Linked DNA regions of Tamandua tetradactyla. The protein of the gene in region 3 purifies or fractionates together with the protein of the main gene of each other region. This does not show direct contact. Links are inferred from orthologs where the notes say so. Each region holds a gene or a part of one and is shown on either strand. Other genes may lie near its edges.

Region 1 (10,641 bases), on a different chromosome or scaffold from region 3:
TGTGGGAGCCTAAGGAAGAAAAAAAAATTATCTATAATAGTTCACAGCCTGGATTTTAAATCACACAGACCTGAATTCAGTTTCTAATTCTGCCACTTAAAGAGTTTTGTGACTTAAGAATCAAGGTATTCTCACTTGTAAAATGGAGTTATAAATCATTTTATCCGTTCCTTGTTAGGATGAGGTAAGACAAATGCTTATTATGGCAATACAAGACAGGCATTTAATAAAAGGCATATGATATGGACAATAAGGGGGAATCTAGACTGAGTAAGGAGGGCTCCCTGGAGGAGGTGATTCTTGAATTGCATCTTAACCAATGAACAGAGAGAGGAAAGAATCAAGATGGAACCCTAGAGAAATGTTAAACTTACATTAGCAACCTTATCTCCACTGATACACCTAAATGAACCCTCCTTTCTATCCAGGTTGCTTAATTCACTGATCTGAGAATACTTTTTGCTTATGCTCTTCTCTCTATTATTACTGAGGTCATATCCACTCCCATCCCTGGCTTTAACCTAATGCCTGACCATTCTATAAGACCAACGCAAGTTCCATTTTTTTGTGACTGAACACTTTGGTCCATAGCAATGGTTCCATTCCTTGAAATTTTCCAGTACCGAATCAGATAAACACACTTGTATCTCCCTTCTACAACTCCTTTTCCCCTCCCACTCCAGACATCTCATCATTATTCTTAACCATCTGTACTTTTGCACTGAGATTATGTGAATGTCATGTCTCTATTCGACTGCAAATTCCATGAAGGCTAGACTCTATGTAAGTATGAGAAAATAGGGCAACGTATGGAATTTTAGTCTTTGATCTCAGATAATTCCATACATTAAGAAAGAAATCAGGGGCGGCCATGGTGGTGCTTGCCTGCCATGCCAGAGGACCCGGGTTCAATTCTCGGTGCCTACCCATGTAAAAAAAAAAAAAAAAGAAAGAAAGAAATCAGAATACTATTAGCAGCAGTCTCAGTTAGGCTTAAAGCCAAAGAACATGTTTGCAGAGGCTTAAAGAGTTGAACTTAATGGGGTTTATTATTCTCAGGTTCTCACATTGATCTGCCCTCAGCTCTATCCATAGTAAACTAAAAAAAATTTCCACTGTGAATTGCGTTCAACAGTCATTTACGTTGCCTCAAATCCTTCAGGGAATAAGACCATGAGATAATAAAATAAAGGTCAGGGGAAAGGTTGGCAGTCAATTCCTTAGACACAGGTTCCACACTGGAAGGCAGTATATGGTACAACAGAATCAACAGACCCGGGTTAAAATCCTGGCTCTTGAAAATTTCGGGCTTTAGACATTAGGCAAGTGCTTAACCTCTCTGAGAGACAATTTCCTCCATCTAATAATGTGGATTAAACACTCATCATTCAAGGTTGTTATGAAGATTAAATGAGTTAATATATATAAGATAACTAGCACACTGTGAGAAAAGACATACTTTGTTAATTATTTATTATTAAATGAAGAGGTTGTCTTCTTGCCAACCTCTACTTGCTCGAGTAAAGAAAAGCTAGATTTAATTCTCAGAATAACTGAGTTCAACATTCAAATATCAGAAACTCTCAATTTGAGACAGGAAAAAAAAAAGGGAGCTTTATAGACTATAACCAAGCTGGGCTCCCACAAAAAGAAAAGTGACGTATTCCACAAAGAATAAAAGCTGTTGGTAATTGAATCATATACCTCACAAAAGACTAGTTCAAGTCTTAATCAACATTCCAGCGGGTGTGAACACAGATGTCAATGATATATCTGAAAATGTTAAGTGAGTCAAGAAGTGGACTCATTTGAAAATAGGATCTTGTATAGTCCTTATATAGGTGTGATCAAACTGAATGAGGGTAGGCCTTAATCTATATGACAGGAGACCTTATTAAAAGAGGAAATTCTGAAGCGCTCAGGGAAATCAGAAGTCAATGAAAGCCACAGAAGGAGAGAATGAAGCAGAACACCATATGACAGAGGAATGCCATCACCAAATTGCTACCCATTCCAGGAGAAAGTATGGCCTTGCTAATATCTTGATTTTGGACTTCAAGTTTTCAAAACCATGAGACAATTTTTTTAATGCTTGTTATTTAGGCCAATCTACTGTATGGTATTTGTCATAGCAGCTCTGGCAAACTAAGATAAAAGGTCAATGTCCAAACCTTGAAGGCACTTCAGATTGTAACCACTGCCTTTGAGGATTCTTCAGATCAACCACAGTTTGTACAAAATGGTAGGAATCATATAATAATATATGGAATAAGCCAAAGAATCATGAACTGTTAGAGTAGGAAGAAGCGTCAGAAGTCTTCTAGACCAAGCCTTTCCTTTCAGTTGAGGAAGTAAGCACAAGATAGATGCCAAGCTTCTTCTTGTCTTCCCAGACACTCAATTAATTGCCATTCATTATTTCCCTTGCAAGAAGCAGGATCAGGGAGGAATAGGTTCTTTTGCCTTGCAAAATGTGCCCAAACAGTAGAAGCTACGTGCTGCAAAAGTAAACTATTGGATTCCTGGTAGGATATCATAAGAAGTGAGAATGCTGCATACAAACAGAAATGCATACTTGTAACCAGTGGCTTTTCCTATTTTTCTATAGAAAGAAAGATCCCTATGGGATGACCAAAATTATCTGGAAGTTTCTAGTGATAACTGAGTTCTTCCCTGTATATTTTCATATGATACAATGAAGAAAAGCTGAATTTGACTCTTAGACTTCTCGGGAGTACCACATACCACGTAGCCAGCTCTGGAAAGTGATAAACAGGAACTTGACCTTTCCTTGACTTCCAATGACTTCTTCATCCAGGTTCAATACTAGTTTTGAGGAGCTATTGTCCTAAGCTCTTAAATTCATGGGCTCTCATGAAAATGCTTAGGAAAATTCAAGAAGCCACACCATGGATATATTCATTCATTGTGGATAAATACACATACAATAGAGAAACTGAGTCTCTAATTAGCTAGATATAATTGTTCCATTTAAGTAGTGCCCTGGAGTTTATTTTAACTCCAATGATTCAGAAAAATGCTAACACTAAGAAGTTAAGGTCTGCATTGTTTTCATTGGCTCTATGAAAAGAACTAGGGCCAACAGATGAAAAGCAAAGAAAGACAGATGTTGCTTTAATAATAACTTTCATGTTACCTTGAAAAGTCAATAACTATTAAGAATAAGAGGAGAAATTTACATAAAATAAGAAAAATGAATTCAAGAGATTTGAGCATAATAAATGAACCTCTGACAAAAGTTTAGGAGCTCAAATGGAGCAGATTAACTATGAGTGTGATATTCTCTTAAGTAAAGTCTACTTCTAATTTTTTATAACAGGAAGACAAAGTATGGCTTATTCTGAAAGTCACATTTTATTACAAATAAATGTAATGGTTAAGCTATCGAAAAATTCTAAGAGGTGATGATGGGAACAGAAAGAAGTGGAATGATTTCAGAAACATTTCAGAGATAGAACTCATAGGACTTGATGATTTATTTATAGCCCAGTGGAGTTAAGAGTGTGTGTAGGGAAGGGGGCAGGGGTGAGCGCTGAGAGAAAGAGGGAGGCTAGCAGGGATAATCGTAGATTGAATTGTATCAGAATTACATGCGGTGTTGTTTAAAAAGAAGAAAAAAATCCACACTGAATTCATATCCCTAACGGAAATTGACGTTTTTATTTAAAAAAGGGGGGGGGGGGGCAAAAAAACCCTGGATGTTTTGAGGCGGAACTAGGTTTGAGAATTGCTATAACAGAAGTTCCCTCAGGCTTCTTTCCGCTTTAACATTCTAGTTGAGGCTCTAAATGACTTTCCCAGAAAAGAAAAGAGAGGAGATCCTAGCACTACGAAAACAGCTATGCATTCCGAATCCATACCGTTCATGCTCCCAGTTTTACTAAATGGTCCCTCATAGGAACTGGGATAGAGCAGGCAACGGAAAGAACGGTGTGATATCCACGGTAAACTGGCTTAAAAACACGTGTGCCTTTTCTTCTAGGTTTTTCTGCCCCGTTAATGGGGGAAAAAAAAAACTTTCCTAACTCAAATACGCGGGGTAATCCGAGTGAAAGATGAGATGAATTGCTGAGTCCCGTGTCTGGGCAACGATGTTTGTCAAAATATTTCTTTTAGGTACCGGCAAGCGTTGCAGGAAAACTCTAGGTTGGGGCCTGCAAGCTCCGAGACCAAGTGAATCCGGCTGGGCAGAAGCGTCTGCTATTCACTTATACCCCCAAGTCCCCAATTCAGGCAGGACCCGTTTGGCACATACCTGTAGGTCCTCTGGTAAGGCTGATCTCTTCTTCAGTGATCAAATAATCCACTCTTCCATTCATGTTTTACTGCTTTGCTTTCCTGGCTTCCCACTTGGGTTAGGTAGAGCTCCTTACAGGTGAAGGTGAATCAGTCACCCCTTTACACCCGCCTATGGTACAGCACTTTCGGTTTCAACAGCCTCCGGACCGGAAGGGGAAGTGGGGGGTGCCTGGAGCGCTGGGAATGCTGGGAGTCGTGGTTCTCGTCCCGACCCGGTGCGTCGCCTCACCCGCTCTTCCAAGCCAAACCTGAGGTGAGCAGGGAGCGGTTGCGATCCTGATTTACTGTTGAAAGCATGGAGAGGCATTGGAAAGGTAAGGGACAGAAATGAAGTGTTATGCTTGGGGAAAAAGTAAAAATAAAATACCCTGCCAACCTAGAAAATCTCCATAAAAAATAGAAATGAAAAAGTGTTTTATTATTCATAAGTATTAAATCTGTCTGTAATGCATATTACAAGCAGGCAGCTAATGAGATTGCAGACAGAAAGAACCCTCACTTTTTTATATTTCCAAACAGATGTAATCAAGACCCTTTCTCTTGACCAAACTGCCAGCATTACTCCTTCATTTGCCCCTACCCGCTTCCTGCCCCTGACTATCCTGAAGCTAATTTTGGAGTTGAGGGTCAGCAGAGAAAAACAACTCGGACTGCAGGGGGGGAAAGCAAAAAAAGAAAGAAAGAAAACGTCGGACTGTATTCTAAATATCAAACTTGCCCGGACCGCCCGGTCTCTCTCTTTCTCACACACGGCTACTCAATAAGGGATTCGCCCGTTTTCTCTTTCCCGGCCCTTCTAGGCTCCAGGCCACCTAATAACGCAAATGAAAACATTGCAGACCTAGTAGTCCTAATGGCAACATTAGTAAATCCCTTACTTATCTAGGTGGAATCAAACCACCCTAAATGCAACCTCAGTTAATTGCTCACCTACCCCAGTGATCAATCTCTCTTACTATTTTCCAGTGCTTTTCTTCCAATTGACTCCCAGCCCTTAGATGGAATTGAGTTCCACTCTCTCTCTCCTGCTATGGTAGCCCCTAAATAAGTCATCTTTGTCTGCTTAACTTTGTCTGGTGTAGCTTTGTGCCGCCCCCCCCCCCCCCGCCCAGATATAGTTCATTGTATGAATGTTCTCAGGTAAGACTACTTGACAATACAGTTTGGTGTACATTATTTGGTAATGCACTCTGCAGGTGGCCGTCTGCATTAATTAATAAATGAAAAATAAAACTTCCCTATCCTGATGACAAGCAAGTACTTACCACTTAGAGGAAGGTGCATAGACTAACAGCGTCTCTGGTGATGGGAGATAGAGATACTATCATCCTTGATATATGTATTTCAAAGAGTTGGCTCCCAGACCCTTAAGAAAAATATCTTTGGGATGTACCAAGCGAGAGGCTTATTTAGCTTTTGAAAAGATTTATACTCATATCAAAGGGACAGAGGAAGGATTTACAATGACAAGTTTTCTCAAATTCTCTAAGAGAGAGGGGGAATGTCCGTTTCTCTTTTGGCAACAGAAAAATTAAATCTTTTAAAAATTTACCCTTACTATATATGTACTACCTTGTTGTGATTTCAGCCCAGCCCTCCTGACTTTTGGGATAGGACATTCCAGATTCAGCTTAAAGGAACCTGCTATAGTCAAAAACTCAAAAGCAGTAAGGACCAGGAAGGTGACTTGAATGTGTGGCACAGCCTTGAGCTAGACTCTAGGGATTGGTGCAGACCATGAAGGATTGGAAATTGAAGTCCAACATAAAGGAATTCAAACTCAGATTTAAAAAAACAAACCAAAAACTGTATTCACTAAACAAAACAAGACAGAGGCATTCAACAGGAAAACCTGTTTGCTAACCCTGAAAGAAATTAGTATGGATAATGGAAAGAATATAGGAGATGATGCTAGAAGACATGATCTCAAGTTTCAGTTCCTTCTCCTTCCTGTTGTTTGCTTTGGGCAAGTAGCCTAACATCTCTGAACTGTTTCCCCATCTGAAAGAGTGTGATAATAGCTCTTTAAAAGACTGTTGAATGAATTAAATAAGATGAAATTTTAAAATTTATTTTTTCAACTTAAAAATCAGTCAGGAAAAAAAAAGCTCAATCAGATTCACAACATCCTCACTTCCAGTTCTCCTCAGGAAAACAGCTCAGTTAATTTGATTCAACACAAATTTATTAAGCACTTGATAATGTGTCAGGCATTATGCTAGATGCTGTAGATATAAAATTAAAAGATTAAAAAAAGAAAAGAGGAAAAAAACATCTTCTACTGTGCACGTCTCTTTCAGTTTAGAAAAAGAAGTAGAATGGTAAAATTACAAATTATGTTAACATGGTAGGATATCTACAGTAATAAAGGCATTTACAAGAAGCAAAAATATAGAGTAGTCTGAACTAGGTAAGAATTCACCATGTCTGGGAGTAAATCTGGTAGTGACAGAGAAAATTTTATTGGAGAGTCATGGCTGAGTCAGGTTTAAAAGAATAAATGTGTCAGTTGACAAAGAAAGAGGAGGTCATTCTGATGCCAGAGAGCCCTCAGGAGTTCTCCAAGAGGTGGAGACCTCAAGCAGGGCTGACGCCCTGAGCCTAATTTTTAAGTCATAGGAAGGAATTCAAGGACTAGTCAGTGTGAACAGCAAGAAAAGTTTAATAAGTGGCAAAAGTACTGGCTTGAAGGGGGCGAGTGTCTACTGGGGTTGGGATTCCTGCATTTATAAGGACTTGGAGGGACCCCTCCCCTTTTGTTTATGCTGACGAAGGATAGAGCAGCATTTCTCATTGGTTCTTTTCCATTGCCAACTGGAGTGAAGAGTAGATGTTCATGTACCAAAAGGAACTTCCTGTTGTTTTACTCTTTGCTAGTGATGGGTCATAAAGTCACCTTCCCCTCCCTCCTTCCCTATCTGCCACAATTCTAGCCAAATGAAACAGTGTGTTAACAGGAAGAGGGCTGGGAGTGTACGAGCCTTACAGCATCCGGGCGGATCGGGTCTTTCCCGTGCTGCCGGCCCACCTGAGTAGTGTTCCTTGCCCATTCCCGCCCTTAACGCCGCCGCTGCCCCTGGGGGCTTAGACGTGACCTCCCAAGCGCCCGGTAGCTTCTGTTGGGTCAGTGACATGAGCGATCCACCAGGGTGCTTCCTCGGTGCCACCCAGCCAGTTGTGCACCCGAGTGGCCGATCTCTTTTCCGTGGCCTCCGGTTGGTCCAGGAGAGCTCATGCATCACCTACACGGTGACCCAGCCAGACCCAAGGTCTGGGCCGAACACGCACCACCAGCACCTGGCATCATGAGGCACCTGCCCTACTTCTGCCACAGCCAGGTGGGGCTTCAGTCTTGGTTCCAAGCAGCTGGGTATCCCCACTGTTAACTTTACTGAACAAGTAGATAATCTTCCAGCTGATATAGCCAATGTCATTTATTATGGTTGGGCCAGAGATGGAAGTGGAGATGTCTATAAGATGGTAGTGAGCATAGTATGGAACCCATAATACAAGAATACGAAAAAGTCCATGGAAACTCACATCAGGTATACCTTCAAAGAGGAATTGAGGAAATACTCAATGTGGTGGCTGTTGGCAAACTCAGACCATAAAAGAACTTTGATTCTTTAGAATCACTTATTTCAGCAATAAAAGGTGATATTGAGGAAGCGAAGAAAGGACTAGAATTAGCAGAACATTTGAAATTTAAGACAATTTCTTACAGATTCATAAACGCAAAATAATGAATGGCCACTGCTGAAAAATCATCTTATGTATTTGGTCTAGTTTGCTAGCTGCCAGAATGCTATTTATCAGAAATAGAATAACTTTTTAAAAAAGGAATTTAATTTTTCAGGTTTACGGTTCTAAAGCTGTGAAAATGTCCCAATTAAAGGAAGTCTATAAAAATGTCCAAATTAAGGCACCAACAAGAAGTTATCTTCACTCAAGAAAGGCCGATAAAGTTCAGGGTTTCTCTTGCAACTGGAAAGCCACATGGCGAACATGGTGACATCTGCTAGCTTTCTCTCCTGGCTTCTTGTTTCATGAAGCTCCCCCAGGGGCGTTTTCCTTCTTTATCTCCAAAGGTCTCAGGCTGCCTGGACTCTCGTGGTTCTCGTTTGCTCTCTCTCTCTCCAAAATGCTTCCACTTTTAAAGAATTACAGCAAACTAATCAAGACCCACCTGAAATTGGTAGAGTCTCATCTCCCTCTAAGCCAAGGTTAATACCCACAAATGGGTGAGTCACATCTCCATAGAGATAATCTAATCGAGTTTCCAATCTATAATACTAAATAGAGATTAAAAGAAATGGTTGCTCCCACAATACTGGATCAGAATTAAAACAAGACTTTTCTAGGGCATATAATCCTTTCAAACCAGCACAGTATTAGTTTTCTAGTATTTCACTGCTCATTACTACCCAGTCTCATGTTAGCATACTTTAAAAATCAATCACTTTCCTATAGCTGTAAATTAGTTTAAACAGTACAATGTAATCACTGTATTTATGCTTCAGCTGTTAAATTAAACCCATCATGCCACAATGCTAAAAAGATTTCATTTAAAAATCAAGATTCTTTTTTATGTAATATGTTGATTAAAAACTCTTTCAACGTTTTCTAAAATGTACCATTTGGAAAATCTTAAGTTTCTTATGATGAAAATAAAGCGTATATATAATGGGTAAAAAGTATATCACTAGTAGGCTGGCCACAGTGGCTCAGCAGGCAGAGTTCTCACCTGCCGTGCTGAAGAAGACCCAGGTTCGATTCCTGGTGCCTGCCCATGCACACACACACACACACACACACACACACACACACACACACACACACACACACACAAAAGAAAAAGTATATTGCTAGTTTGAGATTTAACATGATTCTTAAAGTAACAGTATGTATGTAGGTACTTGTATAGCATGTGTTGTTAAATAGAGAGGTTTGTAGAAGTAAATGGATTATACGAGGTTTGGCAATCTACTATAAACCTAAGAAGAAAAATCCAGACTTTGTATTTTTGATAAAAATTGTACATTGATAGTTTTTACATGAATATAGTTTATTATGGACATGAAGGCTTGTGAAATTTTATTTCAGTCATTTCCTTCATGAGATGAAATCATTGTACTCTCTGTTCCATTTTTATGTAGACCTGCCTCAATTCTAAGTGGTCTTGACTTCCTCCTTCTACTTTTTTTTTTGTTTGTTTGTATTTCAAGTCAAAGAAAAATGAGGTTGTTGTTTTACTTTCATGATAAAGTCCTTTGAAGTGTAAAAGTTTTAAATTTTGATAAGGTCCCATTTACCTATTTTTTCTGTTGCTTGTACTTTGGTTGTAAAGTTTGAGAAACAATTGCCTAAGCCACGGTCCTGAAGATGCTTCCCTACCTTTTCTAGTTGATACTCTTCTCTCTTCTGTATACATACCCTCTCTTCATAAGGAATGAAATTCAGTTCCCTGACAGTAAAGGCCATTATTATACCAAACTTGACCTCTTTACTGGGCATCAGTCTTGTGTAACCCTGTTGCCTACCTGACATCTCAATTTGAATACCTTATAGGCAACTGTAGTTATAATAAAAACAGAATACCTAATCCCCATATCTAAAATCTATACCTCTCTTAGTCTTTCCCCTTACCAGATAAGTCAGTTTACCCAGTTTACATAAAAATCTTAAAAACCATTCCTGACTCCATTATTTCCTTTATACCCCACATGTAGTCCATCAGAAAGCCCAGTTATCTCTATGTACTCATATATTCTGTATCTGACCATCACAGCCATACTGTCTTAATCAAAACCAATATTTATTGCCTGGACTTCTGCTATTCTTCTAAACAGTTTACCCCACTGCCGTTTCCCCTTCCAGCCCCTACCACCCATTCTTCCCATAGCAACTGGAACAATCTGATAAAAATTTAAATTGTATCATGTCATGCCCCTGTTCAAAATCCTTCAATCAATTCCATCTCACTTAGAATAAAAGTCAGAGTCTGTAATGTTGCCTGTAAGGCTCCACAATATCTGACCTCTGTCTCCCTCTCAAATTCATCTACTTCTACAACACTCTTCCCTCACTCACTACTTTGCATTGACCTTTTCTCTGTTAATAAAATGTGTTTGTTCTTGCTTTAGATATTTGTATTTGCTGGTCATCTGTCCCCATACATTTTTTATTGCTGTATTTTCAGTACCTGGAAAAGTTTCCAGCATAAAACAGGCCTCCAGTGAGTGAATGGATTTCAGTGATGGTGAAACTTAAATTCAGTCACTTGCTCAGATTGCACTGAAATTGTCCCTTACCATCATTTCT
Region 2 (10,463 bases), on a different chromosome or scaffold from region 3:
ATGCTGGCGAAGGAGACAATTAAGCATTTTAAAACCTCTCAAATCATTTGACATAACTCAACGGGCAAAAACGGTATTGTCCCAATCTCTAGACCTTCCTTTACAACATGTTTTTTGGTTTTTTTCACTTTCACAGGCTCAGTTCCTTTAAGATCCACCACCTGCCCATGCTGCATTTTTTTTCTTCAAGAAAGCATCTGCACTGCAGATCTTTGTACGAGGGGAGTTTGCCAGCCAGCTCCCACCAGCAGGCAGACGCCTATACAATGGAAACTAAAGGCGGCTTTGCAGCTTCCCTAGTTGTCTTTCAGAGATGGAAAGAGAAGGGGGTTCAACCAGTCCCTGGCTTTGTCTGAATTTTCTCCTCCCTCCCCCCATACTGCAGTAAACACCCTCTTTTGTTACACTGCGGTCAATAACAGCCCAAAGAAAATATGAAATCAAAACATATTGGTGGCTTGACATTACTCCCTATTTATTATCTTCTGGAACATTAAGCGACGGATCGCAAGCTCCCACCCCCAAGCCGCGCCGGAGAAGAGCAGGTTGTGCTGCAGATGCAGCCACGGATCCATCATGGACGGACCATCAACAGCTCCCTCCCAAATCTTCCCTGAGCCATTCTCATCACGCTTTCTCCTACCTTGGAGCCTCGGGGAAAAAATCAGACTCTGTATTACAGAGTCCATAAAAATTAAAAAAAGCAGATAAAAACAGCAAAGAAACGTTACAATGTTCCTATTGAACGCCTTCATCCACCCCACAGGCGACCAAAAAGAAAAAAAAAAGATCGAAGACTACAATGAATGCCTGATTATGTCAACACCTGCCCGCAAATCTGCAGTGCAACCCTTTCACCACCACCTGCGTCAAAATCATGCCTAATTATTTCTCCTATAGTCAATCCGCCCGCCCCAATCCTCTTCATACCCCCTTAGTCTCTTTAACCCTCCTGGACAAAATCACCCCCGTTCCGTAGATCGCTCTATCGCCCTCCATAATCCCACCCCCACCTGCCAGGCCTTTGCGTTAACGCCCACTTTCTAGACTACCTCCCCGCCCCCAACCTGTTTTCCACACACCCCGTTATTTCCTCACCGCTTGCACGACCTAACTCTCCCCTCCCCCCGGGCCCATTTTCCCAAACGCTTATCCTCGGGGGCTAAATCCACCAGTAGCCGAGGGTGAGTTGCCTTTTCCCTACTGAGGGAAACCGCCACGGTCCCCGCTCTAGGGCCCCCGGTCCCAGCTCGCTCACCCTCCCCAAGGCGTGGGCTCCCCCAGGGTCTCCTTACCCGCACAGGAGGATCCGCAGCTCCTCGCCCCCAGGGCGGGGCAGGCTCCCGGGCTCCCGCCGCCGCTGGGCGCGGAGGGCTCGGCCCCGGAGGACGACGAGGAGACGGACGGGGACTGGGTGGCCGCCGACAGCTCCGCCATGGCTGCGTGAGCAAGGACCGGAGGGGATAAAGAGAGATGTGGGGCGGGAGATAGGGAGGGGAAATAAGATTATCGGGTGGCTGGCTGTCCGAAGTCCCTTCACTGCTACTGCTCCGGGGAAAAGACTCCGACTGACTGACTGACTGACTCAGCCGAGGAACAGGAGGGCGGGAGCGCGAGCGCGCAGGCGCACAAAGGACCCGCGAGCGTGCGGCGGGGGAGGGCAGTGGCCGAGCCGAGGCGCCCAACGGCGCAGGGCGCAAGCGCAAGAACTGCTCCTCCGCGCTCCCACAGGAAAGGAAGGGCAGAACCGGCTTCACGCGGCGCCCTGCCGGGGCGACCGGAGTGGGGAGCGCCGCTCCGGGACCAGGCGCAAGGGGCGTGGTCAAACTCAAGCCCCGCCCACTGCCGCAGCCCAAGCCGGTGAGGGGTGGCCTTCGGGTGTTTTTCCTCATGTCTATGTAAATGTTTTAGGGGCGACTGTTTTTGTATTTTGTAGGGCAGAAGTTTCTTTTTGCTTACACTAGCTGCAAAATATATTTTCCATAAATTCCAGAGACGATGCCTCTTGTCACAGCGAATCCCTCCTGGGACGCCTATGAAAACTGACCCACACTGTTGAGTAGGCCCAGGCTGCAAGGTGTTTTATGAATTTATCTGCATGTGTCGTAATATCGGATCACCATGAGAGAGGAGGCACGGTCTCTCATTTGGTAGGTGGGAAATGATGCCGTACAGAGTGAAGAATGATTTCTCATTCCAATCACATTACATTGCAGCCTCAGAACCAGCTTCTTACCCTTATCTTGTTACTATTTCAAAGAGGGGTTCATTGTAGATGTTAAGTTGCCCTCTTCTCCCAATAGCTTCTCAGATAGGGCATATTTCGAAGGAAGAAAAAGGTGAGCTGGGTTGGTTGGCTTGTCAAATTCAAATCCTTCTCCTTACATCTGGACAAAATATTTGAAAGGTACATAATCCTTTAAATCAGGGGAATGTGTCCTGGAAATAATAAAATTCAAGGCTGTAGGTTTTGTTATTGCTCAAGCAGCAATCAATGATCTGAAGGATAATTGCAGAATCAGCAGATCCTGTAAAGATGCAAGCTCATGGTGGGGTGGGGGTGGGAGCCCTGTTGTCAGCTGGGAGGGAAAAGCATCTGACTGGTGGAAATCTTCTAGAACAGGTAGTGGACTATGTCTGCCCTTGATAATATTTAAGGTTAGGTAAAATCCAGAGAGAAAACAATAACAACAAAAAAAATTCCTGGCCATTGCAACATTCTGAAAAAGGCACAGAAGAAAATTTCCCAAAATAACTTCGTGGCAAACATCTTAGTCTGGCACTTACAGTAGCAGCTGATAATGCAGCAAGCTGTCCTTTAGATGACAAAGGGAAATATAAACCGATCTGATAATCAAGGCTGCTGTATATCCACTGGGATAAACGCATAAAAAAAAGAAATCTATGTCATTAGGTGCTTGATAAAGAAATGAATGATGCTGGTCCCTAATCCTTACTACAACTGCTAGAATCTGGAGACCTGGCCTGGCAAGGAAGCCCATTTCCATGGGATCTAGAAGCAGAGAGAAGAAGCCAAAATACACATTAATGTGGTCTTGGTGATCTCTTCCCACCCTTCAGAGGCCTTTGTGAAAGGTTCAATTGCTGAAGCTGACTTTCCTTCCTGTTCTTTATTGCTGTACCAGTCAACTTCCCCAAAACCTGATTCCTGCTTGGGAGGTTTGCATATTTGTATATATAATTTGTTCCACTAATGTTTACTGACCACATGCTGTGAGTATAACACTATGCTGGGCACTTTGGAAGGATCCAAAATATGTATGTTGTCCTGTCTTCAATGAGCTTACAAGCTAGTTGGGGCTTACAACTTACTCACATAAAATTAAATCATACAAATTAAGTAGCAACCCAAAACAGCCTCAAATAACACAAAACCACAGTGCTATGATTAGGTGGCAAGTGAATGGTATTAGTTTAAAAGGGGATGGATCACCATGGAGTTGTAGTGGCTTGGGAAGGTTTTATGAAGAAGCTCAAGCTTAAAAGATGGATAGGAGTTTGTAATAGTGAAGGGGTCATCAAAGGCAGGAGAGGATGGTGTGGACCAGAAGGAGGGGCTGCTTTTGTGCAAATATACGATAAAGGCACTTCACTGGGCAGATGAATTACAAAAAAAAAAAATGCATCCCTTTCACCCAGCAGATGCAGTTCTATGCTGACTTGTCTGGAATAACCTAGGTTCCATCCACTCCTGTTCCTCTCCTCCCCTCCTCCAAGGTATAATTTGTCCCTTGGTGGTACAGACTACACAGTCGTATGGTGGTGGCTGGAGGCTCAGAAATGTGAACAGTGTGTAGGAGGTTTGGGGTGTGGTCAGACCAGATTTGCTAAAGCTGGGGGCTTGAATCAGGACAAGAGGGAGATAAAATGGGGACAATTTGTTGGGGTCAGAATCTGCAGAAGCATTCACAGTGCATTAAGGAAGTGAGGTTTTGTCTTAGAGCTAATGGGGATTCAGTAAAAGGTTTTGGGCAGGGGACGCTCAGAAAGGATTTTTAAAGTATTCATTGGAGCATCCACTTCTCAGGAATTCAACTAAACAACTTGTATAGATTAAGCACTGTGCTAGGCCTCTTCTTCCTTGGCTTTGTCCTTACAGGACTCGTATTTACTCAGTTAATTTCCCACCTCAACTTCTAGGCCATCTCGTTACCCTATTTTATACATAAGTAAAGTAAGGCACAGATATTTCAATGATGCTCAGGAATGCCAGTTCATCCCTTATGAATGCCCAGACTATTGCTTGAACACCGATTCTGCAAGTAGGAGATAGGAGAGATGGTGAACTGAGCCCCAGCATAGTCACAGCGAGTGGTAATCCTTTGTTTACTTGACTGTTTACCCCACCAGACCATGAACCCTGGAGGACAGGGATGTGTCTTATGCATTGTTGCAGCATTACTGCCCAGCACCCATGCCTGGCCTATAACAAATGCCCTATTTTTGGAAAGCTTTGAAACCTGAGTCATTGTGTATGTTTATTGCAGAAAATAAGCTTGCTATTCTTGTACATCATAAAATACTTTGAGTGTCTTGAATATTTATGACTTTGTTTTGCTTTTCCATAAAGAATGACCATCAATTTTTGAGCACTAACCACACATCGGTCATCATTTACATCACTTATAACTCATTTAACTGACAACTCTGAATCATTTTGCAGCTGATGAAATAGGTTCAGAGAGGCCAAGTAACTTGCCCAAGATTGCACAGCCCGTGAGTATTAGAGCCAGAATTCAATGCCAAGTCAGTCTGACTTCAATGCCTGTGTCCTTAACCACTCAAACATGTCTCAACGTTACCTACTTCTGAACAACAGAGAAGGTTCAGCCTCCTAGTCAGACTACATGATTCAATTCAGAGTGAAACTGCTTAAGGCAGAAAGGCTGCAATCAGTATCATCAATATTTAGCATTTTGCATGTTCATTGTTTTGATGTCCTTGGGTGATTGAGAAGGAAATAAGAGAAACAACAACAAACAAACCCCACATTTCCTGTTTATAAGGTTTACTTTCTAAGCTGTGACTAATCTAAAGTCCACCACCTATAATTTGTACCATGTTGTTCTAAATGCTGGGAAGCTTGTATCAGGTATGGGGAAGGCTGATGCAGTGCTAACATTGACCCTGAGGATGTCTTCATATTGAGAGAGATATAATGTCAGTATTTGCTTTCACCTCCTGACAGGATGGACTGAGAGCCTTCAAAATAGAACAGGGCATTTTGTTCAGAGGTAAAAGGTACTTAATAGTAAAGGAATAAGGAAGTGAATGAGCCACGTTAGGTGTAACATATACCTTCTACTTCTTCATTCATTCATTCATTCAGCAGATACTTGAGTTTCCACTATCTCCCTGGCAATGTCTGAGGTATTGGGGAGGAAGGAAAAAAATCCTCTTTTTAGAATTTACATTCAAGTAGAAAGAGACATACAAAACACTAAGTAAGTAAATTAGATGGTAAGAAGTCTTATTGGAGAAAAGTAAAGCAGGGAAGGTGAATAGGGAATCCAACGGTGAGTGTGCAATATTAAATTCTTGCACAGTGTGCTGCAATTGTGACAAGTCATTGACCTTTGACCCCTCCTTTCTCTTTCTCAGCATGCCACATAAAGCCCTGGATGTGTGTCACAACCTACAGGTCCTACCTTCTGCATGCCAGTGTGAATCCTCAGTAACCATTTGCCCTGATACACACTTCTAGTTGTTTGCTGGCCCTAGTTGGTCTAGATCTGATCTAGACTTTTAAATCTAAAGCCCAGAAGAGGGTATTCAGATAATCGAGAGTTTGAGAAAATCCTAAGGTTCAGGGGTACAGAAATCAAAGAAGGATCTCCTTAGGTAGGATTAAGTAGAATTGTTTACTTCACCTTTGTCCTAACCACTCAGGAATAAAAAATATTTCAAGGGCATGGGAAGGCCTACAGTTGGCTGAATACAGCTCCTGGGTAGGTTATAATAGTCGAGGCAGAGGGAGAAGTAAGTGGAATAATCTGTCCAATGAATGAGGCAAAGTTAAGCGAAGAGGGTGACTGGGAATGGATGCTTTAGTCTCCCATAAGCGCCAACTATTTAGCCCCGAGCTACCCCCACCCAACAAACCCAAAAAACAATATTGTTCAATAGTGCCAACTAACGTTTTCTTAATCACAGGTAAAGTGTGAATTTTAGCATCTTCGGAGAACCTTGTTCAAAATTTGTGCTTGCAAAAGTCCCTGGAAACTTCAGGTTTACAAAAGACAGCCGTGGCTTGGGCTGGGCAAAGCCGGAGGAAGGGGTCGCACTGGAAGTTGTTCCGGGCCCTATTAGAGTGCTTACGATACAACATAGGCTCGGTCAGGGCAGTAATATGGGCTGCAGCTGATGGTGGTAATGAAGTCATCAGCTCCTCTCCTTGTGAAGTCAAAATCATTAAAAATTCAATGCCATTCACGTCACCCAGGGCTGAGACCTCTGTCCGGTCCTTAGGGCAGGGTGCCGCCTACCTGTGACCCGGGCCAGTGTCACACACAGAAACAGCTCCAAACGCCGCCAGCAGGGACCAGAGGCTGCTGGGTGGATGGGTGGGGGCGCCGGCCCGCCCTTCCACGCCTCCGCACAGCCTGCTGGGAGTTGTAGTTCAGTCATGGAAAGACCGCTCCGAGTCCTGCCTTCTCTTCCGCTTCCTTCCCACCCCAGATGAGGGGGCCAACCTGGGATCCAGAGAGTGCGGGACTACAATTCCCGAAGGACCGTCGCCTCCAGCGCCCAGCTCCAGGTAGTCGGCGGCGGGCTCCGCAATCTCGCGCACGCGCATCCGCACCCGCACCCGCGTAGCGGGAGTTGGCGGGACCCGCCCAGCACTCGCCTCTCCTCGCGCTCCGGGTTGGGCTTTGCAGACCCATTCTGGCGGCTCGGCGCGCGCCTCGGTCTCCCCAGTTTCTTCTAGAGCCCAGGCCCCGCCCAATTCCCGCCCCAGCCCGCCCCTCTCCTCTGCGCCCCTGCTGCCTCTGCTTAAGGCGGAGGATCCATGTTGTCCCCTCAGCGAGCGGTAGCGGCTGCCTCGGGAGGAGCAGGTGAGGCGCCCAGTTTCCCCCCCCCGGACTCTTTCCGTGGTCACCCCCGTCGCCTTTCCTGGCGCAGCTCCCGGGGAACCGCCCGCGCCGCCGCGTTTGCTTGTCACGGGGCTGAGCCCGCGCGTCCCTCGCCGGGAGTCCCTCGGCTAGAAGTCGGTGCCGCGGCTCCTCGCGGGATTCGGCCAGATGGCGCGCGGGCGGCGCCTTCCTCAGCTTCGGGGCTCGGGCGGGCCGCTGCGGGGAGGCCGCCAGCGCTGCTCCGGACCGCCGCTGCCCACCTGGGGTCCCCGGTGCCCGCCCGGGGACAGCGCCGAGGGCCGGTGGTCCCCGGGGGCGGCGCCCTGGGCAGGGCCGGCGCTCCGGGGCTCCGCACGCTCTCGGGTCGGGAAATTTGGGCCTTAACGGCCCAGGATGGAGCGGGAAGGCAGATGCTTTATTGTTCAGCATTTATTGAAGTGTTGAAAGGCTGCGAAGTGTCTCACAGTTGAGAGCTTTATTTTTATCCCAACGACCTTGGGAAAAGTATTCGGAAACTTGTTTTTCAACCCGCATGTATAAGGAGATTAAAGAACGTGGCCTTAAATGGGTTTTGAGTATGTTCTTTTAGTTCAGTGCTTCCCACCCCCCCCTTTCTTGAAGACATTAGCGTAGGAAAAGTATCGAATAAAAACCAAAAAGGGAGTCGGCACAAATTCCTGGATGTGACTTCGGCTGTCCTTTTACCAGGCTTTAGTTTTGCTTAATCTGCTGTGCGCTGTTGAAATTGGCAGCGGGTTCATTTGGGAAATAAATCTAAAAGAAAAAAAAGAAAGTGTTTGAAGAGTCTTTTAATGAGTAGATCCCAGTCCTCAGACCTGACTAGGAAGTTGGGGGAGATATTTTGTGAAAGCCCGAAAAATTCTAAACAGGAGTCCCCACTCCCGACCCCCCCTCCCCCCGGCAGACGACAACAACAAAAATCCGTGCCACTGCACATCACTTTCTTCTGGGTGAGAGACAGAACCTTCGTAGTTATTCTATCTTATGTATCCAGTATTCGGCACTGCAGGGTAGTCCTGAAATAAACGAATTTTTCCTTATTCCCAGCCGTACAGAAACTAGTTTATAGTGTAGAAAAGCCCTTTAGTGCTTTAACACCTGTAAGGGAAAGCATTTGCTGAAGCATCGTACTAGTAAACATTATTTTACTAACTACTGTTTACTCTGTAATAATGTAATTAAGAAAAATATCAATAGAGGATCACTGATGGATAACATAGTTTTCTTAATTTACACTAAATAGGGCTTATTCGGAATAGGCCTTTTAAAAGAGCTATTAAAAAATGGGTTTTATATGGTGCAGCACACATGTTTTTGGTTTCAATAATAGACTAAAGAATATGCCCACCCTCATTATTTGAAATAATAGAGAATGGCATGAAGCAAGAAATAAAAGTCCCCTCCAACTCCCCAGTTCTCCTGTGTAGCCATTTTCAACAGTTTGACCACAGATTCTTTTAAGATTCCCATGAAGTCCCTTAGAGAACAAAAGGTGTGTGAATTTGTTTCAGAACTGGGTTAGAATTTACCTATTAATGCAGGCATGCCTGTTGAAGTTCTTTATGGCTTTGTGTTTGATATTGAGAAAGTGTTCAAGTAACACAACGACGTTTTAGTTTGAATTTTAAAACATTTTCCTGAGTTATCTTTGAAGCTGTAGGAGGTATTAGCTAATACACACTAAGGGGGAAAAGTAAGACGAAAGCTTTCTTTGGGAAAAAAAGGCTTTCAGTCCTTTCAGGCCAATCCGTTTAGAGCAGTGATTCTCCTTGCTACTTTACATTAGAATCACCTAGAGACTTCTGCCAGTGCCACTCACATTTTCTGATTTAATTCATTCTGGGGCCCAGCAACAGTTAAGAAAAAAAAAGCCCTAAGTAATTCTAATTTGCATATTAGTACATAGTCAAATTTCCTCGTAGGTAGTTAATTAAATCTGAGTGTGTTTACTTCAATAAAGTATAATTTGTAATGATCAATATTTTTTCCTCTTAAAATTATTTTGAAATAATTTCAAACTTTATCAATATTGTATTGAGAATTTGATGCTCTTATGTATACATTTCTAAAAATTGTTTTTTATTGACATGCATTTTGATACCAGTAAACATGTCATGTTTATTTCCCAGCTAAAATATATTATGAATAAGGAAAAAAGCTTTAATGATATAGTAGGTGAATATGCAAAGAAGTAAGAGTAAGTGTATTTATACGCTGAAGGGGAAACAAAGCCAAATAAATATTGCCAACTGAGAAACCCTTATTTAACTAGAACGCAGCTAATTATAACTTTCAGGTAGCCAGATTGATTTTGATGATGTCCTCACTTTTGAGAAAGAGGCAAATAATATCACTTGTTGAACTCATTCTTTAAAATTTTTTTTTCTGTAGTAGGCCTGCAAGCATTTTTATATTCCTCTCAGTTTCTGCATTTTCAGAATCTTTAATACTGTTTAGTCATAACTTACCTTCATAAACCCATGAACCATAGCAGAATTCTCAGTCAACAAAGAAAATGTGTTTTTTTCCAGTACTGTGTTGTGGCGCAAGCTTTTCCAGCAAGTTAAGATAAAGCTTCCTTTTAAACTCTCCAATTATTTTTAGTATACAAATTTTCCCCAATATTCTTTTTAGTTGGGCTTGACTAGTAGTTTCACTGAAACAAGCTTACAGATACATGTGTAAGCACGTTCACTGCTGTAAGACAAACTAGAGTATATAACTTCCCCTTCCTTCCCCTCCAGGAAAAGAATCACTCCCAACAGATCTTGAGTTGGCTGAGAACTTAGTATACTTAACCTTGCACATATGGTGATGTGTTTTCTTTGGCTTTGTGAATTAAAAAGTTTAAAGACTGCCAGCAAGAAGAAGGCATGAAAATGGTATGCCTCTGTTTTTTGGGTTTGTTGTTCTTGCTTTTTAGAGAATGTGGTATTTCAAACGGAGAGTGGAAAACTGAAGTCATAACTTTGCCCTGAGTCATGCACGCCACTCAGTGTTCCTTTAACTTTAGTTAGTTTGGTTTTTGGAACTTGCTGGACAGAGTATTGAGCCTGGCTCTACCCTAGTAGTTCTCAATGCAGGGGAATTTTGCTATCACCACCCACTCCCTCAGGTGATGTCCAGAGACATTTTTGGTTGTCACGACCTGGGGGGTGGGGTGGGTGGTTATGTGCCACAAATGTCAAGCTGATAGAGGCTAGGGATGCTGCTAAATATCCTACAGTGCGTAGGATAGCCCCCTAATAAAGAGTTTTCTGGTCCAAAATGTCAGTAGTGCCAGAGTTAAGAAATCCTGGTCTACACTGATGAATTGATTAAGTTCTGTATTAATTTCTAAAATAGCAA
Region 3 (9,600 bases):
TGCTGGAGGAGGAGAATGCCATGCTCAGGAAGCGGGTAGAGGAGCTAAAGAAACAGGTCAGCAACTTGTTGGCCACCAATGAGGTGCTTCTGGAACAAAATGCCCAGTTCCGAAATCAGGCCAAGGTCATGACCCTGAGCTCCACTGCACCAGCTACTGAGCAGACTCTGGCCCCCACTGTAGGCACTGTGGCCACTTTTAACCATGGCATTGCCCAGACTCACACTACTCTCAGCAGCCAGGCTCTACAGCCCCGCCCTGTGTCCCAACAAGAACTGGTGGCCCCTGCTGGAGCTCCAGCTGCTCCCCCAACTAATGCTGCACCTCCTGCTGCTCCACCACCCCCACCCCCACACTTGAACCCAGAGATCACGCCACTGTCAGCTGCTCTGGCTCAAACAATTGCCCAGGGAATGGCACCCCCACCTGTCTCCATGGCTCCTGTGGCTGTATCTGTGGCCCCTGTGGCCCCTGTGGCTGTATCGATGGCCCAACCCTTGGCAGGAATCACAATGAGCCACACCACCACCCCCATGGTGACTTACCCCATTGCTTCCCAGAGCATGCGCATCACGGCCATACCTCACTGATGGGGCTACTGGACACTCCCCTGGTTTAGTCTCCCAGGGCCGGGGTCGAGGGAGCCTTATTCACCTACTTGCCTAGCCCTCCTAGGCTCTGTCTGAAGGGCTCACTCAACGACTAGGACAAGAGACTGCCAAGTGCTTCTGAGAAAGGGTTGGGCTGGTGTGTTTTCTCTCACCTCCCTTTCACAAGGGTCCTCTTTTCCATCTTCCTTCAAGCCTCACAGAAGGGGCTTGCATGCAAGTACAGACTGAAGTCAGCAGAGAGGAAAGACTGACTGAGGGGCTTTGGGTTCTGGGATGGGAAGTTGGAGATAACCCTGGTCTTATCCTCTCTTCTGCACAGCCCAGGTTCCAGCACTGGCTTTGGAAGGGGGGGAAATAATACCTATCTAGAGGGAAAGCCAGGATAGATTGGGAAGTAGGTGGCCAGGAGAAAAGACTGGATAGGAACCTTCAGACAATTTGGGGCCCAGTCGAGCTGGACAATACAGAAACTGCCCCTGAACCCCTGGGAAGGCGAGGACCATAGTACTCCAGTAACCCAAAGGCTAGGGGAGCATTCTTTACCTTAGCTTGGCCTGGAAGTTCATAGGGCAGGGCCCACCACTTCCAAAGAAATAAAATAATTATTTTTAACTAATGGAGGCAGTGGAAACTTACTTAGATATTCTTTGGGGGAGGATGGGAGCAGTAGGTAGATCTCATGCTACAATGTGCTAGAGACCTTCATATAGCTTGGGTAGGGTTGGATGGACTCCAGTGAAGATAGGTAGGCACCCAGGAAAAGACCAAGTAAGAAAGGCATTTGTTAGGGTAAAAGCATTGAGAGCCACCTGGTCTATTTAAAAATAGCCCCATCTGTTTTTGGTCTCTGCATGTGCTATTCCCAGGTTGCCTTGGTAACCAGGGCTCCTAGGGTCATTTAGGGGGGCAGGTACTGAGGAGGGTGGGTGCTGGGAAATGGAGATGGGATGATATGTAGCTGGCACATCTTTCCCTTACTCAAACAGAGCAGGACAGGTGGCAATTGCCTCTGAGTGCTTGATGGCAGTTAATGCCTCTCCTACCCCATCCCTTCCTCAGTGACCAATACCTTAAGCCTTAAAGCCTTGGAAGATGCTGGGGAAAGGAGAGTTCTTTTAGGGACATAAACCTCCCTTTGTTCCCTCTGCCTCCACATGGGACCAGAGGTTTTAGTTTTTTGAACCTAATGGCTGTTGCAGGGGAAACAACTGAAGTGTCTGGTCTAGTGAAACTGTGATTTGAGGATAGAGAAAACAGTTCTGGGTTGTTCTCCCCCATCATTTCTCCTACCTCCTGCTCTCTCAACTGGTTGATCACTCAGGTTACACCTGGCATTGGAAATCCTGGGCTGGGTCAGGTCATTAAAAAAAAAAAAAGCCTGGGCCTAAAGAGGAAAAGCTGACATATATTGTTTGTGGATTATAGAAACACATTGATAAGTTTAATGTTGATTTTCTGGCAAAATTCTGGATTAAAAGAGATGGTTTATGAGCATTTAGAGAAGACTGTGATCATAGATACCTACACGAATTATTTCCACTTAAGTCCTGACAAACTGACTTTATTTCCTTTTTGCCAAGTATCACTAAAGAGGTAGGTTTTGGAAACTAGACATTGTATGTCTTGTTTCAATGCACTCCAGCTAAAGACCATAAGGAACATATCTGTAGTTAAGCAGTTGGGCTTAATGATCATTGCAATGAGGAAGAACATATACTATGGGAAATTGTGCTATATTCCAGCAAGTAGTTGTTAAAAAAGACTTACAGCATTGGACTTCAAGTGATTTGGGGAGGATTCAAGGAAGCAGAGGTTCACTGTTGATTGGTGCTGTCAAAGAAGTGGGCAATTCTATAATTCGGTGTCTTAATCTTATCTGGAAAGAGGGTAGACTAGTGTGAGGCTAATGCTGTAATTAGTAAAGAAGCAGCAGTTACTCAGCTGGGAGGCGGGATGTTTGTTACTTTGTGGTTTGCACACTGACCTTGTTTTGTGAAGTGTTTCTGTGTCCATCATAGTCGCTTAGTGACCTGTTTGATATTGTTGTGCCCAAAAGGACAACACGATGGCCTAGCTGTGAGTGCCAGGTCAGCCCCTTACAATATAGTAACCTGCCCAGCATTCCATAGCTACTAAGGAATGGAGCCAGGATTCTGAGGCACTCTGGTCCCAGACTTGGCATATTTAAAGTTCTAATAGAGCCATTCAATAATGGGACCACCAGTTTGTGAGGAATAATACAAAAAAATTTTTTTTTCAAATTTCCTTGCCCCTTTCATTCTGGTGAGTGGGCTGGGACCAGAGTACCACATTTGATCTTATTCCTCCCCAGGAGTATATTATAATTGCAGATTGCAAATCCAGGAAGTTTCAGTACTCTCAATCATCACTTAGGCCCCGCCCTTTAAGAGGCTTCCTTTGACAAAAGGCCATCTCTTCCTATTGCCCACTTACTGCCTATTACCACCAGGTGGCATCCAGGCAGCAGTATTATCAAAGGCCTGGGCCCCACCCTGTTTTACTTCTGCCTGCATTGCAGCTGCTGATTCTGTGGCTCCTGTGCCCCAGCAGGGTCTAGGACTTACTGGAGGTGAGCCTTCATCCCCCTTCCATAGGGAGATCTAACGATATGAATGGGGTGAGAAGTTTGGAAATCACCCTCTGTAGGTTCTCTGTCTATTCCAGTGCTTAGCAAATTTCAGTTTATAGAGAGGTTTTCCTCTAAGAAGGCTCATCCATTTTCATGTTACAGTTCTGCTTCATCAGGAAGTGAGCAGATAACTCATATCTCCAAGCTCTCTGGGCCCTTTTTCTACCTGCTCCCTGACCTCTGGAGATATGGAGGATATGGGAGGCAGATGGAAATATGTTTTATACAATTCTGCAAACTGAATTAAGCAGTCTAAATACTGCCAGCCCCAGGAGGAAAAGGGAAGTGAGAATACTATGATTAACGGAGGGTGCTGGGCAGGGTCAGGTTTTAAGCAATTTTAATGCAACAACCTGAAGAAATCTATGCCCTGCAGAGGCAGCTAAAATGTATCAGCTGCCGATGTACTCTCTCTGCAGCAAACTCTAGTTCCCCTGCTGCTTCAACAGAGTGAAACAATAAGCCCCGCATGTACTGCATTAAAAGGTCATCTGTACTTTATGCCCAACCCTCCCCTCTCCTGTATCCAATTAGTCTCGTTTCTAGGTTCCTGGACAACATCCCACCTTCAAGGCCCGTTAACTAGCAACAATGGTTATCATCAGTGTATCCTGCAGGGTTCCCTTCAGGAACCTGTACAGTACAGTTAGTTCTACACTTGCCTATATTCCAAACCTTTCCAATTTAGGCAAATGAGAAACTGAATCATCACACTACTCTTGATTTCTCAGTGTTCTGGTAGCTCTCAGGTTCAGGAAATTCTTGGAAAGTTATTTCTAGGGCAGTTGAGCTCCCCTCTTTTTTTTTTTTTTTTTTTTTCTTTTAGCCCGTTTAGTTTTAATCTGATCTCAGTAGTGATAGCGATAGCTAACTCTTGGAAATTTCCAAAAAAGATAAAATCTGACTTCCTATTCACCCTTCTGCTTTTTTTCCCCCTCTGAAGGTTGGGTCATCTCAATTTTGTAATCCTCTGGCTCTCCAATTGTCTTTAATGTCTGTCATTCTGCACAGACAAGTTAGGGGACTTGGGACGAAATAGAGAGGGGGATCAGTCATTGAACGTTTTCATTCCAAATAGGGTAATTTCCTTTTCTTTTGTAAGGACGGCCAGAAAGAAAATGAAGGATAAGGAATGTGCTTTCAATATGAAAGCTAGGGAACGCTGACAAATGAACATATGTGAAACCCAAAATCAAATCCTTCCAAACAGTCCGAATGGGATGGAAGGAAATCCTAACGCTCCACAACCCCCCAGTTTCGCAACTCCAGCTCTCTAAAACGAGGTAATTGGCGGTGCGGTTCTGCCTGACGTCATACCACAGGCACTCCAATCCCACGTGGGGGGAGCTCGTGGTCCCGCCTCTCCTCTTTAAATGGTATACCACGCCTCCTCCTCTTCCTGGCCAATCAAATGCCGTGCTTTAGGCCCTTTCCTCCTTTTCCCGCCATCCCGGACCTCCCATCTTGGAACTCTAGTCCAATCAAGAAGGCCCTGCGCCGCCGAAGCCCAGTCTCTTCGGGGCGGAGTTCCGACCTTTTGACTCCTCCTTGGTGTATGGGGCGCGGACCAACCCGAACCGCCAAAGAAGAGGGGCGTGGCTTGACGTCCCCTCCCCCATCCTGGGGATCACTGTTGCAGGGGCAGCTGGTTGCAGGTCTAAGCCACCTCCAGCCGGTCTCTGGCTCGGACGGGTCTTCCCTGAGGTGGCACCATGGAGCGCTCTACTGAAGAGGGCTCCGGCCCCAGCCCCGTGGACCAACCCTCTTCTCCTTCCGACCCCCCTGACCGGCCCCCCACTGCCCACACAGAGCCGGACCTGGGTTCTGGGAGTCAACCTGTCGGCCCGGGGGCAGCAGGCGAGGCCCTTGCGGTGCTGACTTCGTTCGGCCGGCGGTTGCTGGTGCTGGTGCCGGTCTACCTGGCCGGGGCAATGGGACTCAGCGTAGGTTTCGTGGTCTTCGGTCTCGCCCTCTACTTGGGCTGGCGTCGGGTCCGCGACGAAAAAGAACGGAGACTTCAGGCAGCGCGGCAGCTGCTGGATGACGAGGAGCAGCTCACGGCGAAAACACTGTATATGAGCCATCGAGAGCTACCTGCCTGGGTGAGCGGCCACCCTCATCCCTTAGTGCAGCATAGTCCCTTTCCAGCCCCTCAGTTCTGGGGCTTTCCCTCCCTATCCCTTAGGCAGCCCCCATCCCTATGCTGAGTGGGCCCCAGACTTTCCCCTCTCGTCCCGCTTGCCACCTCTCTGCAGAGACGCGCCACTCTTGGGACTAACTGCCCACTCCACCACCACCCTCTTCCCTGCCATTCCGCACGCCCAGAAGCTCATCCTTCCACAGAACCAGGACTTGTTACTCCACTCTTAGGCAAGAGGACTGTTAACATCTGGGGACCCCGTCTCAGCCGAGGCTGCCTCCTAGCCAAGCGGTCTGGAACGCCCCTCCTCGCTTCTGATGCCATTCGCGCCTTATGCAGCTCCCGGGCTTTCCCATACCGGTTGCCGCTCCTAGGGCTTCCTCGCCTTTTTATGCTCCTTAAGACTTTTTACCTACTTAAGACCATTAGGTTTTTCTTCCTTTTGCCGTTTTCTCTCCCGGTACCCGCTGAAAGCCTGCCGTTCCGAGACTCCACATCCGGACGACCCTCCGGCCCGCTCCTTCCAGCCTCGGCTCGGCAGCCTGGCTGCAGCGCGGTGGAGGCGATTGCTGGACGAGGGGCGGGGTGCGGGGAGGAGGATGGTGCGGCTGCTGCAGTGCCCGCTGCCTACACTCCGCCCCCTCTCTGCCCCACCCTTTCCCGACTGTAAGCCGCGCTCTGTTGGGGCAGGGACCCTTATCTCTGCACCCCCTCTCCTGCGGTGAGGAGACCGGATGGCTCCTTTTTGTTTGGCGAAGCAGAGCTCGCTACCGGCCCCTCCCTGCTCCTCCCTGTCCCTCCCTTCATGCCCCTTCCAGTAGAAGTGCCACACTAGGGGGAGAATGGCAAAAGAGAGCAATCAAAGCTGGCACTAGGCAAACACAGACATGCTTCCCAGGCCCTGGGAAGGGAGACGGGGAGAGATGATGTGAGGGGACTTGTAGCCTAGGCAGCAACTGTCTGTTCCTCCTACTCCTCATCATGGAGCTACTCTTCCTCCAGACCCCCCACCCCCATATAAAGCACAGGTGTCCTTCTTTCGCATTAAAGAAGTCGCTGTTAAAAAGAAAGAGGGAAAAAACCCCACCCACCATCATGCTTTACTAGTTCCGGTCTCTCCAACTCAAGGAGCTGCTTCCCTCTTCACCTTCTTGATATAGAAACCTCAGTCACAGGGAGGAGGGAAGCCTGGAACAAGGAACCGGGTCTTCTCCAGTCCCAGGATTCCCTCCCCAAACGTTTATTCATTAGGGCCTCCCCTCCGGGAAGAATGTGCCCTTTTCCTCCTCCTGCCGACTCTGCCCCAGCAGCTGTCGTTTTCACATCTCTAACCTATCCACAGAACAACTTGTGTACTGTACCCTGCCAACTCCCTTGTTAAAGAGGCCTCAGTGTCCCCAAACCCTCTGGAGGAATGAAACTGGGGATACCCCCTCCCCCAACCTCCCAGCATCCCCCCTGGATGTGAGTAGGCCCTTCCACAGTTTGGTGTTCCTTCTCTTCTGAGGATGTACCACCCACTGTCATGGGGGGAAACCACAGGCCAAGGGCGTATTCATCACTGTCTCTGCCTTCCCCACCAGGTCAGCTTCCCGGATGTGGAAAAGGTTGAGTGGCTAAATAAGGTGAGGGTTAACTGTCCTCAATTTTATTTTTCATGAGGAAGAATGGGGATTGGGTCCTCCTGCCCACCTTGGCCACTCCCCAATTCTAGCCCCAGCCTAGTCCTGAATGCTGTGTGTGGGGGGGGGGGGTCTGAAGACTCTTGTCTTTAGAGGGAAGGTTTGTGCTCCTATGACCATCTCCTTTCCTCCTAGATTGTGGCCCAGATCTGGCCCTTTCTAGGCCAGTATATGGAGAAGGTTCTGGCTGAAACTGTGGCCCCAGCTGTTCGGGGAACTAACCCCCATCTGCAAACATTTACATTTACACGAGTGGAACTGGGTGAAAAGGTGTGTAGGGGGGAGAAGGGAAAGTAATGAAAAGGAGGAGATGGGACTGGGAAGGTGGGTGGCTGAGAGCACACTGAGGTGTTCCTCCCTTTCCCTCCCCTCTCTATTAAGAAGACTTCATCTCTCTCCAGCCACTCCGTATCCTGGGAGTCACAGTTCATCCTGGTCAGAGCAAAGAGCAGATCCTTCTGGACTTGAACATCAGGTAATGCTGCTCTTCCCGCTGCTTCATGAGTGGAGCGCTGGTCGTTTCTGGCTTCTTCATCCCCCTCTCCACTTCAGATTAGTACTAACCCTCCTTCTACTCTTCCTTAACCAACCCCAGCTATGTAGGTGATGTGCAGATTGATGTGGAAGTGAAGAAATATTTCTGCAAAGCAGGAGTCAAGGGCATGCAGGTAGGACATATGCCAAGGGTCCCACAATAGGGGAGCCTTTTCCCTAAGTTTCATGGGCTATGGGAAGTTGGAGGTTGGAAAGAAGAAATGAGGCTGGGAAAGTCTTGGAGGGGTGAAGAGGCTTTTCTGGGGAAAGGCTTTCATCTTCTCTTCTTGCTCCAGCTGCATGGTGTCTTGCGGGTGATCCTTGAGCCACTCATCGGAGACCGTCCTATCGTGGGGGCTGTGTCGATGTTCTTTATCCGACGCCCGGTAAGGAGAGACGTTGAGAGGTGTGAGGAGGCAGGGGGAGTGGAGAAGAGAGGTAGGATGAGGGTAGCCAGCTATGGGAAATGGAGAAAATTAACGAGAAGCCTGAGGGGTCTGGCAGCTGTTCGATGGGTGAGATTGTACCACCACATGATCTGTCCTTATTCTCCTTCTCTTTCCTTCCAGACCCTAGACATCAACTGGACAGGGATGACCAACCTGCTGGATATCCCAGGACTCAGGTAGCAAGAACTGATTTGAGCATCTACTAAGTTTTCCAGCCCTGAGTTGGAGGTTCAGGGGACACAAAACAGTAAAAGCAGTAGCTTGTTCTCTCCAGGAGTCTGTACCCTAGTTGGAGAGATAAGACAAATACCCCTAAAAATTTCATACTGTGATTTTCTTTTTTTCTTGGGTGGGCATGGGGGTGGAGGTGGGGGTGTGTTGTTAGAGAATGAAGAAGGTTGAGGACTGCTCAGTGGGGGCAAAAAGAGGAAGAGCAGAAGATGGCAGTGAAGTAGGGATGGAGCAGTCGGTGGGAAATCAGGGCAGAAGAGCAGCCAAAAAGGAGCTACAAGATGGGATGTCCCCCCAGCATTAGGCCACTGCTGGCTGCATGAAACAGAGTTGGGAATAGGGAAAGATTGGAAGTTGGGGCCATTCCCACCTCCTTTTCAACTCCCCTACATAGCTCACTTTCTGACACCATGATCATGGACTCCATCGCTGCCTTCCTCGTGCTGCCAAACCGATTATTGGTCCCCCTAGTGCCTGACCTCCACGATGTGGCTCAGTTGCGTTCCCCTCTGCCCAGGGTATGTTCTTTCCCCCATACGACAGATCCCTCTCTCAGGAACCCTGTGCTGGCTCCTTAGTTTCTTGCCATCTGATTCCTCCCTGCAGGGCATTGTTCGGATTCACCTGCTGGCTGCCCGAGGGCTGAGCTCCAAGGACAAATATGTGAAGGGCCTGATCGAGGGCAAGTCAGACCCTTACGCACTTGTGCGTGTGGGCACCCAGACGTTCTGCAGCCGCGTCATCGATGAGGAACTCAACCCTCAGTGGGGAGAGACTTATGAGGTGGGAGAGCATAGGAGGGGTGTGTATGTGAAATGAGGAGGCCCTGGGAGGTTGTGAGAGAAGATGCTGAGATTAGATGCCCTTCATAACTGCAGCCCATGAGCCACTTATCCCTCTGTGTTCTCCAGGTCATGGTACATGAAGTCCCAGGACAGGAGATAGAGGTGGAGATATTTGACAAGGATCCAGACAAAGATGACTTTCTGGGCAGGTGAGAGTCTGCCTGAGTTAGGATTCCAAAGCCCAAATGCTACCAAAGTCTGGGAGGTAATTACGGTCCTTTTCTGGAATTGTGAATCATTTTTCTTTCTAAGACTCCCTCACTGCTATCACACCTGCACACATGAACACATGCATGCACATGTGCAAATGTCTCCTGAGTATAAGGAGAAGGGAGTCTGGGATCTGCTAGTTATTTCTGGGTGGGTGAGTGGAAGGCCAGTGTTATGCTGCTAATATATAGCACTCCCCTGTTCTCCCTCTCATTACCTGCCCCCATCAGAATGAAGCTGGATGTAGG

The links.
Region 1: the proteins of ESYT1 (region 3) and SYNJ2BP purify together in Homo sapiens (affinity purification with mass spectrometry; 4 studies listed by BioGRID and IntAct, with this or other methods). This does not show direct contact. The link is inferred for Tamandua tetradactyla from reciprocal best matches to the Homo sapiens genes ESYT1 and SYNJ2BP.
Region 2: the proteins of ESYT1 (region 3) and ATL3 purify together in Homo sapiens (affinity purification with mass spectrometry; 3 studies listed by BioGRID and IntAct, with this or other methods). This does not show direct contact. The link is inferred for Tamandua tetradactyla from reciprocal best matches to the Homo sapiens genes ESYT1 and ATL3.

Annotation. Positions count from the first base shown.
Region 1 is NC_135338.1:28,567,975-28,578,615, forward strand, and holds the start of SYNJ2BP (synaptojanin-2-binding protein), read right to left. Parts: upstream 4,476-10,641; 5' UTR 4,341-4,475; coding exon 4,277-4,340; intron 1-4,276. UniProt on the Homo sapiens protein: Regulates endocytosis of activin type 2 receptor kinases through the Ral/RALBP1-dependent pathway and may be involved in suppression of activin-induced signal transduction.
Region 2 is NC_135335.1:10,995,840-11,006,302, forward strand, and holds the start of ATL3 (atlastin-3), read left to right. Parts: upstream 1-6,464; 5' UTR 6,465-6,506; coding exon of another isoform or gene 6,507-6,648; 5' UTR 6,649-6,699; coding exon 6,700-6,778; intron 6,779-6,853; exon of another isoform or gene 6,854-7,030; coding exon of another isoform or gene 7,031-7,076; intron 7,077-10,463. UniProt on the Homo sapiens protein: Atlastin-3 (ATL3) is a membrane-anchored GTPase that mediates the GTP-dependent fusion of endoplasmic reticulum (ER) membranes, maintaining the continuous ER network. It facilitates the formation of three-way junctions where ER tubules intersect.
Region 3 is NC_135333.1:123,181,079-123,190,678, forward strand, and holds the start of ESYT1 (extended synaptotagmin-1), read left to right. Parts: upstream 1-4,857; 5' UTR 4,858-4,973; coding exon 4,974-5,363; intron 5,364-6,984; coding exon 6,985-7,026; intron 7,027-7,218; coding exon 7,219-7,353; intron 7,354-7,484; coding exon 7,485-7,558; intron 7,559-7,678; coding exon 7,679-7,751; intron 7,752-7,913; coding exon 7,914-8,003; intron 8,004-8,186; coding exon 8,187-8,242; intron 8,243-8,691; coding exon 8,692-8,815; intron 8,816-8,903; coding exon 8,904-9,080; intron 9,081-9,208; coding exon 9,209-9,291; intron 9,292-9,582; coding exon 9,583-9,600. Other genes in the region: ZC3H10 (zinc finger CCCH domain-containing protein 10), read left to right, coding at 1-590. UniProt on the Homo sapiens protein: Binds calcium (via the C2 domains) and translocates to sites of contact between the endoplasmic reticulum and the cell membrane in response to increased cytosolic calcium levels.